Linked DNA regions of Oryzias latipes. The main gene of each other region encodes a partner of the protein of the gene in region 3 in a complex. Links are inferred from orthologs where the notes say so. Each region holds a gene or a part of one and is shown on either strand. Other genes may lie near its edges.

Evidence for each region.
Region 1: gtf2a1 (region 3) and polr2b share a complex: the UniProt entries of both Homo sapiens proteins name them as parts of the TBP-based Pol II pre-initiation complex. The link is inferred for Oryzias latipes from reciprocal best matches to the Homo sapiens genes GTF2A1 and POLR2B.
Region 2: gtf2a1 (region 3) and gtf2h5 share a complex: the UniProt entries of both Homo sapiens proteins name them as parts of the TBP-based Pol II pre-initiation complex. The link is inferred for Oryzias latipes from reciprocal best matches to the Homo sapiens genes GTF2A1 and GTF2H5.

Annotation. Positions count from the first base shown.
Region 1 is NC_019868.2:3,851,845-3,856,198, reverse strand, and holds the start of polr2b (DNA-directed RNA polymerase II subunit RPB2), read left to right. Parts: upstream 1-1,456; 5' UTR 1,457-1,572; coding exon 1,573-1,591; intron 1,592-2,701; coding exon 2,702-2,774; intron 2,775-3,075; coding exon 3,076-3,226; intron 3,227-4,354. UniProt on the Homo sapiens protein: Catalytic core component of RNA polymerase II (Pol II), a DNA-dependent RNA polymerase which synthesizes mRNA precursors and many functional non-coding RNAs using the four ribonucleoside triphosphates as substrates.
Region 2 is NC_019882.2:9,073,263-9,076,177, forward strand, and holds gtf2h5 (general transcription factor IIH subunit 5), read left to right. Parts: upstream 1-1,421; 5' UTR 1,422-1,562; intron 1,563-1,775; 5' UTR 1,776-1,838; coding exon 1,839-1,873; intron 1,874-1,973; coding exon 1,974-2,154; 3' UTR 2,155-2,279; downstream 2,280-2,915. Other genes in the region: protein SERAC1, read left to right, coding at 19-162, 244-380. UniProt on the Homo sapiens protein: Component of the general transcription and DNA repair factor IIH (TFIIH) core complex, which is involved in general and transcription-coupled nucleotide excision repair (NER) of damaged DNA and, when complexed to CAK, in RNA transcription by RNA polymerase II.
Region 3 is NC_019882.2:4,167,650-4,170,926, reverse strand, and holds the end of gtf2a1 (transcription initiation factor IIA subunit 1), read left to right. Parts: coding exon 1-43; intron 44-143; coding exon 144-425; intron 426-1,416; coding exon 1,417-1,506; intron 1,507-2,021; coding exon 2,022-2,129; 3' UTR 2,130-2,715; downstream 2,716-3,277. UniProt on the Homo sapiens protein: TFIIA is a component of the transcription machinery of RNA polymerase II and plays an important role in transcriptional activation. TFIIA in a complex with TBP mediates transcriptional activity.

The DNA.
Region 1 (4,354 bases), on a different chromosome or scaffold from region 3:
TCGTGATTTCTATCAATGTTGGACTTCCACCCCCTGCAGCTTTACACTAAACATCAGTTTTGTAAAAAGGAATTCTGTATAAATGGTTGAATCCCTTCCTTTCTGTGGTTCTTGGTCCTCCTGCAGCGTCTAGAGTGGCATTCAAATCCATCACATCACGTCCTTCACATGAGCTGCAGTTGATGGTGGAGTTCTCTCTCTTCTGATGTGTCAATTATGAAAAATACAGTTCTAGCTAACCCAGATTATCTACAAAGATTAGAATTGTTCTGTAGGTGTTGGGAGGGGGATTAAAAGCTGCAACAATAGGACCGTTTGTGATGACTAAGCTTTTCCTCATCAAAGACTCCATTCACTGATGGTACAGAAAATAGATCGTTATAAAACTCTGGTTTTACATAAAATTCCCAACAGTACTAGAAAAAATAAAATCTCATTTTTAGACAATCTTTCAATCAATAGAAGAGTTTCTGCTTTTCCCTCCACTATGTAGCAGAGGGTTGTAACACTTACAGGCTACGTCTGTTTCAGATGGATCTGGATTTATACGTTATTTGGGTTCTACCATCTTCTTTTTTACAGAAACACCTTAAAACCTCTGATAGTGAACTTAAATAATGTTAGGAAAACGGATCAGATGTAAAACCTGCTGCATCTCTGCTCATGTTTTACTAAAAGCTTCACTTTCTGGATGTTTGTCAATTTGTTCAAATTTACTGTTAATTTTAATCAAACATACTTAAAATCCTTTCAAAAAAGTCCTGTGACTTCATTATTTTCTAATCAACACAGAGGAAAGGCTTCCGGCAGGAAGTGAAGTCCACTTGGCCTCTTGTTAAACTGCAGTGATTATTTTTTTATAGTTAATTTTATGATTCATTTTAAGTATTGAAATCATGGAATTATACAATAAAGAACAGAAATCCAAAATTTAAACAGATTAAATCCATTTCAGATAAAAAGTAATAATTGATAAGAAAAAAGATGTAATGAGATGATGCTATCATATTGACAGTGTGTTTATTCATAATTATAAATAGATGCTTTGCATTAATGCATACAGAACACATGCACGTTACATTAGACCATTAAGATGCACTACCAAGCGTCATTGATTATCAACAAAAACATTAGTTATAAGTTCACACATCCTTATATTTGGGATTTACATGAACACAAAATGACCTGTAAGTCCTCTCATCTCCATATTGAGAAACAAAAGTTTCCTTCTACAATTTCTTGAATTTATGGATATTTAAACATTGTAAGTTGAACACTGATTGAAGGGAAAACCTAATGATATTAGAGTAAAATGTTAAGTATCTATAGTTAGCTTTGATGTCTGATTTATTATTGTTACATTTGTTTTACTAACTGCACTTCGCACACTGCTGTTCTTGGCCTCAACCGCAGGGGGCGCTGTCACAGCAGATGACCGCCAAACACCGGAAACCCCGCAGAAAAAGAAGAAGTGTTTCCGGGTCTCTGTGTCAGGCTGCGCGCCGCTTCTCCGTGTTTTTGTCTTCTTTTTTCTGAAGCCGTCTTTGTTTTGAGGGATTTTCGGAAGCCATCATGTACGACCAGGACGAAGGTGAGGCGCGGATTCCACGCAGCGCCGTTAGAGCTGCGCGTGAACGCTCACGCATGGCGAACGTCTCCTCCATCCATGATCATGATGTTCCATGTTGTTCAACCAAAACCTGTCTGAAGCTTCTTTGCATGCAGCAAGTTTCTGGAACCGGACTTTCTGTAGTTGAACAGACTCTTAAAACCGAGACGCACGTAGTAACCAGGGGGGAAAAACACGCGTGGAAAACGAGCAGACTAGGAAACACGCAAATAACTTTAGTCAGTCCGGCTGGGGGGAAACATTAGCACTTTGTCGCGATATTTTGAAGTATTTTATGCCAAACCAGAAATGTTTGTTCACCAATATGGTCATCATTGAATAGTTGGAGAATTGAAGAAGAAGAAGACTGTTTTCTGGGAATGGGCCCACCACCCTCCCTGGTCAGTGGGATGCTGTGGGAGGTGACTGCCGTGCAGGAGCAGCGCCGCTCCACAGCAGCAGGAGCAGCAGCTGAGTGGCTTTAACATCTGTTCAGTCTGTTTGTTAACCTGTAAACACGCTCACTGATTCTGGTTAAGTGACTGTCCGAATAATCCAAATCTACAATTCCAAAATCCAGATCGCTAGAAATTTCCCAGAAGTCTCTGCGAAAAACCAGTGTGCCTTGATGGTCACTTGATTGGTGAATTTGGACCACAATGCATTGCGTTTGAACAATTTTTCATTTGAAAAAAAAGTATTTAAAGGAATTTCTATTAACCATCATCATGATGATGATGATGGTCATCATCAAACATGTTCAGATTTACGTCATAAAATGTCATATTTGCCATAAAAGAAAAGCAGTAAACATGGCTTTAATTGGCTTTAATAACCAGGGCAATAGATAGTTTTTTAAGTAGTTAGGATGTAGAGAAGGAATATGAACATAAACCCTCACTCCCTCTGTCATGATAACACAGTCATATACAAACAAACCTTTATTTGCAGTCCAGACCGATGACGGACACCCACCAAACTAACTAGAGCGTAACCCTAAGGAACCAACAGCTCAGTGTTGATGACCAGCTGCTGTCAGTTACCTTTAATGTCTTAGTGTGGATGTGGCCTCATCATTTCTGTGTCTGTTAGATAACCAGTATGATGAAGACGATGATGAAATCACCCCAGATCTGTGGCAGGAAGCATGCTGGATCGTCATCAGGTAAGCTCACCTGTCAGGCCCACTGTGACAAAACATGAGTGGGTTTCTGCTGCCGCACACGCAGCAGTCACGCAGTCACCAGAGCGTTCTGCATCAGAAACCCAAACTGCTGTTTAGATAGAGTTCAATAAAAAACAAAGGAAAAGTTGAACCTTTTTCTGATCATCTTTTACACTTTAAGCCTCTTCAGTCATCTCTTTTAATCATCGGTTCTGTGAGTTTCTGGTGCAGGATGTGACGCAGACGGTTCTGATCCGCTGCAGCTCTCCGAGCTCTTCCTGAACTGCTGTCTGTTCTGCAGCTCGTACTTCGATGAGAAGGGTTTGGTGCGGCAGCAGCTGGACTCCTTCGATGAGTTCATCCAGATGTCCGTGCAGAGGATTGTGGAGGACGCGCCTCCCATCGACCTGCAGGCTGAAGCACAGCACACGTCAGGGGAGGTGGAGGAGCCGGTGAGTCTGCGTTGGCTGGTTTGGGCTGCAGGTCCTTCAGTTTTAGTAGGAGCTTCTGATTTTTATGCCACATCAGGGCTCCAGACTAACTTTTTTCACTAGGAGCACTGTGGCCCCTAACTGAAAATTCTAGGGGCGCATACCGTAAATCAACATGCTAACCAAATCTATTCATTTCCACTGTATTACTAATAAATACTTTAATAATAGATGCAGAAATTAAAATGTGCTGTTTCAAATTCAGTGTCACATTTTATTCTTCACTTTTGAAGATGCAACAAGAAGGTAAACTGACAGCACCATCGCTGTCATGACAGTACAAATAGTAAAGAAAACAGATGGAAATTTATCTTTGTGACACCAAATAGGTGCAGCCAAGATGCACAATAAGTGTGTTTGAGATCACCCAGGTGAACTCAACGCTGCACAGATCACCTGGTGTGAGACATATATTTTTGTTTTTGCTCCAACATCAACTGTCAATCATCACAAAAATATCGCGAGAAAGGGGTGGGAGCAAGGGGCAAACCTACCCGGACACAGCTGGAAACTAGAGACTACAAAACAATGCATTATGGGACATGTGTCCTGATGGTTTTTGTAGTGGAGTGATTAATTAAAATAATTTAAAATACCAATTCATTAAAAAGGCTACATACATCACAAAACATTAAAATAATCATAAAATATATAATAACACAGATCATACTAAGGGGGAGAAGAATATTAAAACTAAATTGAATGTTAAGGACAACTCCAACTGTTGTCCTTCAGTCTTGCTGCAGATTCGCCTTCATCTCACAGTGCCCCCCCCCCCCCCCCCCCCCCCCCCCCCCCCCCCCGCCTGGTCTCCCTAACGATCCAGGCGAGGTGCCGGTTCATCTCAAACACGTCTATCGTTGCATTTTCCCCACGTATTTTCAGTGTGTCTAAAACTAATCTTGTTTTTGCTCGAGCGTGTTTAAAGTTCAAGCCCCGTTAGCTGTCACGCATGTAGGTGTGGGACATTTATTCTCCTCAGCTGACCCGAGTCCCGCGGGACGGGAGCGGTGTGCTGCCGTAACCCGTTTGATGCACCGCCGTGACCGTAACCAAAACCTAAACCTTCCTCCGGGTCTGTGTGACCCA
Region 2 (2,915 bases), about 4.9 Mb from region 3:
TTTTTCATTTTTGTCAAGATTCACCAGCTTTGTCCAGTCTGAATGAAAGTTTTGTGAACATCGCAAAGGAAAATGACTTTAAGGTGATGAGCTTCGCAGAATCGCAGGCCACAAACGTCGGACCTATGATCAAAATAGTTGTGGTGCCAAAACAGTCCGCAGGTATGCAACACCAGCGTCAATAAGAAATGAGGTATTCCTCTGTACTGTAGATGGAGATATGAAAGCCTGGTTTCGTTTCAGACCTCGGCATCGGAGAACTCGTCGAGGTAAACGTGGATCACCTCAACATCTGCAAGCCAGAGAAGAAGGATTCGTTTCTGTACAAACGCAGCCTCCAGTTCATCCAGGAGGCCTTGCAGAGTTTTAGCAGCCAGTGACTCTTTATCCGCACAAAGACAATGATGCAGACTACTGCATACTTGAACTGTGGAGAGAAAAAATATGCACATGCCCCCCTTCCGGGATGTCTTTTGTTAAACATGAACAAATAATGTGAAGTGTGAGGGATCACTCAATATTTAGACTAACTTAAATGAAAACTTTCAGCTCTGATAACGAGACTTATTTTTAACTCACTCCTCATGAATAACTTAATTGTAAATCGGATCACTTTTGCAAATAATATTTTTACAGTTTTTTGTCATGTTTAGAGTTGGAAACAGATTGTTAATATTTTAATTATTATTCTGAGATGTAATACTTACGTAAATGATCTGTAATATTCTGAAAAGAATTTCTTCCCCGCATTTATTTTTATATTTGAGAGTTTTATCCCCCAAAAAGCACAATGTCAGTCATAATTGGTGCCAAAATGTATTTCTTTTCCTAAGCCTTACCATAGACTCCTCCTTGTCTATTTAAAAAAACATTTATTTTTTTTAAGTAATGATGTGATTGAATTTTGCCGTAGCACAATTGCCACTAAAAATTCCCATCGCTGTCAATAAATTACTGAAAAATCTCAGTTTCATTTGTGTTTTTGCTAAATATTAAATTAGGGTTTTTACACTGGAAATATTGCTTTTTATTTTTTACAGCCTACAATGCTGTTTTTTGGGCAATATAAGTTAAGTTTTAGCCAAGATTTTGCAAAATAACATTTTGATAGCTTCAGTTTAATTTCCTTTAAAGTTTTTTGCGGAGCAACTTGGTTAGGAATCAAAAACTAAAAAGGAAGCTCTCTATTCTGGTATACGTGATCGTTAGCTTTGATTTTAAACCAAAAAGATTTTTTAAAGAACTTCTAAATCCTGGGAAATGTTTTGGTAATCTTATTTATTTATTATGTTTGTTTCCATGTCAATGAAAGTAACTTCTGCAAGAGTACAAAATCCAAATAAAAAATAAAATAACACTCCACGATTGAAGCTAGCAGCAGTGCGCATGCGTTGCATTGTTGTTGTCGAAGCACAGAAAATTGTCCCTTGACCCGCACCATACAGGGACATGTAGCATCGTGTTAGGAGCCTAGAATTTGTGCTAATATTCTGTCATACATTTACCTTTTATAAAAAGGAATTCTCTTACTTCCACTAACATCTTTCCCGGAACACAGACAGGTTTGTTATTTTAGTGTTGTTGTTTTTTAGCTTTGGTGTATTTTAAAGCATTTTATAATTGTTTTTATCTGAGTCTTGTTTACCTGTGATGATTAGCTTTAAAAAAAAGCGCGTCACAATGAGACTTTTTAACCTTTAAAATCTGTATAGACTTCAAAAACAAACGTTCTATTTTGACAGAGAATTCTTGTTTTACTTGTTTTTATGCGTCAGGTTAAAAAATCCTCGCGTTAAGTTAACATCTCCGCTAAACAAAGGGACCGTTTCTTCGTGAACATGGTGAACGTTCACAAAGGCGTTCTCGTTGAATGGTAAGTAAAGTTTTAACAAACATTATTTTTTTAACAAGTTCTGTAAATTAACATTTTGAGAACTCAATTGTGTCTGATGGGATGTGTTTTATTGAATTAGTGACCCCGCCATGAAACAGTTCCTCCTTTACCTGGATGAGACCATGGCTTTAGGAAGGAAGTTCATCCTGAAGGACCTCGATGACACCCACGTTTTCATCCTGGCAGAGGTGGTCCAAACCCTGCAGGAAAGAGTCGGAGACTTGATGGACCAGAATTCCTTTCCCATCACGCAGAAATAACCTTTGACCTTTCCTAAGGATAATCTTTTTGTTTTGTTTTTTTGAGCTATGGAATGACTGGATTTGTTTCTGACATGCTTTAAAAAAGATCAATAAATTGGATTATGGGTTACATATAACTATCATTACTTGTAGTGATGTAGTTTGTAATTATACCTGCATCCATATTTTTATGGGTATTGGGGTGAGAAAATTTCCAGAAATTCTTTAAAAATGTAAAATATATCTAGCTGTGGTGGTCACGATGCATATTTAAACCCTAGGAAAACTGTACTAGGACTTATTTAAGTTAGTATCCCTCTGCCAGGTATACAATTTTTAAATATTTTAATATTCAGTTTTTAAGACATTTTCATAGACACTTTGCTTTATTTACAAGTCTCCTTACAGCCTCATGTACAAGCAGCACATTTTACAAACACCTGAAGAAAAATCATCTTAAACATAAGTGACATTCCCTTTGAAGAAAAAAAACACAAAATATACACATTTTACAAATTCATAACTCATTTATGAGGAAAAATAAAATGGAAATGCAAGGCACCGTTTAGAATAAAACATGTATTTGTACAGATCTGTTTTTTTTTTTAGATAATTGTAAAATAAACTTATCTGAATGTGCAGTATTTGGAAATGTGTTTAAAAAAATTAAGGAAAATTGTATCATTAAAAAAATTATAAAGGCTAAATTTGGCCATTAATCTGTAATCCATTGACACAATTGTACACAAATCTGTTTTGGCAAAGATGATAGAAATGTG
Region 3 (3,277 bases):
GATCGTTTTGGCTCCAGGGAATAAAGTTCAAGGGACCACACAGGTCAGAGCACCAATTAATGTTTTCCCAATTATTATTTTTTTTGTGGGATGTTGCTCTAGGTTTACGTAATGACTCTGCTCTCATCTCTGGCTGCCGCCAGGTGATGCAAGCAGCAGCGATGGCGCCGCAGCCCGGCCAGGCAGCAGCAGCTCAGGTCCAGCAGGGGGCAGCTGTGGCCGCTGCTCAGGCCCCAGCCCAGCCGGCAGCCCCGCAGCAGCAGCCTCAGGCCCAACCGCAGGCGCAGCAGCCCGCCATGATGGTGCAGCTGGATGGAACTGGAGACTCGTCCTCTGATGAAGACGAGGACGAAGAGGAGGAATACGACGAAGATGACGAAGAGGAGAAAGATAAAACCGGTGGGGAAGACGGGCAAGTTGAAGAGGTGAGTGTTGAGCCAGTCCAGGGTTTATGGTGTTTTTAACATGTTGTTGTGGCATTTATAACGGAAATTAAGCTTCTAATTGTATTTCTGAGCATTTCACAGATGATTCCTGTCATAATTTGTGATCCCCAAGACGATTAAAAGTCTATTTATTCAGTTTGAACGATCCAGTTCGCTGATCTAAAACAGATCCATCTTTAGCCAAAACTTCCACTAGTGTGACTTACCTGAGTACTGAACAATACCTGAGTACTGAACGGCACCTGGGTACTGATATTTGAGTGTAAATTAAATGTGTACAAACATGTAAACAACAGTTGATTTCAAATCAGATTACATTTTAGTTTCTTAAAGTTTGGACCACTAATGTTTTTCCACATCCAGGTAATCCAAAGGGAACATTCTAGCACACTGGATGGTCACATGACTTTGCTAAATTGAGTGTTTCCACTCATTGGACCGGAATGATGGAACCGATCGTTTTTTGCTGACATCATGTCTATGTGATGGTCGTTTTTTACATTGTAGTGAAATAAACCTGCCAAGTCTCAATCCAAATGGTATTTTCTAAGATTGAGTATTCATTTCATTTTGAAACATTTTTTTATGGTGTAGGGCGTTTCAATGAACAACTTGCCTCGAAGAGATAAACCTGGATGGATCTTAAGATAAACCTATTAAATTGATCGTTTTAATCGACCAACAACTGCGGTTTAAAAAGATCGTATTTGTGACGTAGATAATACCTCGAGCTTCCTGCTCCAAGTCCTCTGCTGTGGGATGAGGTCGCTCCACGTCACTGATCCCGCCCACAACTCGGAGGCAAATTTCTAATGAACTTTTGCCGCCCTGCAAATTTTTTTTTTTTTTTTGGGGGGGGGGGGTTAAAAGCTGCGTAATAATTTTTAAAAGACCACTGGGAACGCTTTGAAAATCGATCAAAAGATGATTGGAGTGGATCTTTGAAGTCTTTGGGTTTTTTGGTCACCAGGAGCCTCTGAACAGTGGAGATGATGTCAGTGATGATGAAAACCAGGAGCTGTTCGACACGGAGAATGTCGTGGTGTGCCAGTATGACAAGGTAGGAGATGAGCGTCAAGCTACGTTCACGTTTAGCCATCGGTGTTCACACTGGACTGTCGCTACCGGTGCACGCACTCACCGTTGGAAGAGGCTTGGTCTGAAATGTTGAAGCAGTGCAAATCTTTGCCCCAGGCCTTTTTCCTTCAGTCTGATGTATGAAAGACTTGATGTGACGTCATTCTAGCCGAGCACAAGCCACAGTTATTGATTACTCCCTCATAATCAATTAATCAAAGGGTTGGCACTTCCATGTTTTGAAAAGGACGCCATCCATACGTCCCTACTAAAGCAGAGTCAATTGGTTGAACGTTCAGCGTGCGTTCAATTGTTTCCTTGACTTAAAAACGTGTAGCGACCCGTGAATGTGACAGTTTTGACCGCGGAAGCCCAAAAGGGTTACTTAGACTTTTTCAATGGAAGTGATCGGCGGTGTAGCATCAGGGTAAGCTCCAGCAGCATCCCTCTGTTCTGAACTCTCCCATTCTTCTCCTCCTCCTCTTCCTCGCTCCTCAGATCCACAGAAGTAAGAACAAATGGAAGTTCCACCTGAAAGACGGGATAATGAACCTGAACGGCAGAGATTATGTCTTTTCCAAATCCATCGGAGACGCCGAGTGGTGAGGCGGGGGAGACGGGCGAAGCACGAACTCCTAACTTGTTTTTATCCAGCAAACTGATACTTCAGCGTCCTTTCACATCCTGCGTCCGAACTCCTTCAGGAAGGTAAAGCGAGAGTCTTTGAGAACTCATCCAACCCAAAGGATTGCTGTAAGACATGACACGTGGAAAAACACTCGACCAGCGTTTACGGGATGAGAAACCGACAGGACACTGGAGAGCCTGTGAACAGAGCTTTTTTGGTTTATTTTTCCCTTTAAGGCTTCTGCCTTCTTCTGACAAAATTCCCCCAAAACAGTCATTTCATGTCGTACAGGTGTTGCGGACCAGAAGGAACTCTGCGGTCTCTCATAACCCGATAGACACACATTTTTAATGCACTGTAATCGGTCGACTGGATTCATGGAAGTCCAAACTTAGTGCCACCAGTCAGAACCGCTGCCTTTTAGAATGACTCAGCTTTTTTTTTTGGTTGTAGTTTTGTTTCCATGTGAAAAATGAAAAATGGTGCTCCAAATTGTTTTATGTAGTCCAATCTTTTTAAAAAATTATCTTTTAGCGTCAGATCCGAGGCTCCTGGGAAAAACAAGGTACAAAAACAATCTTCAAAAATCAATTTTAATCCACAGATGTTTAACCCCGTTTTGCTGGAGCTTCATTCCATCTTTTTTTTTTTTTTTCAAAAAGCCCCAAAGTTCATTTTGGGATTGCATAGAAGATGTGAGGCTGCCACGCCGGTGTATCTCCGCTCTTCCTTTAGTCAGCTGCAGCCGTGGGAGGACTTGCACTGTGGGTTTATCGACGTCCGTGAGCTCAGTCAGTCCAGGAAATCCATAGCAGCATCAGCAGCAGCGAGGTCTCTTCTGTTCATTTGTGTGTGAGACGCGGATCGACGGTGCAGGCGTGCGATAGCTGCAACATACGTCTTTCTTTTGCACACCTTGCAGTCTCAAAATGCCAGTCACACTAGAGAAGGGGAGGGGTGCGCATCATCTATTTATTGTTAAAAGTTCACGGGACGTTCTTGGAAAGATCTGAAAGCCGCACCAAACTGTGCTCTTATTATCCAGTAAGTGTTCCTTTTTAGTTTTCTTCTTCAGCTGGACAAGCGCTACATAAATGTTTTTCTGTCTTATTTTACGCTAAACTTT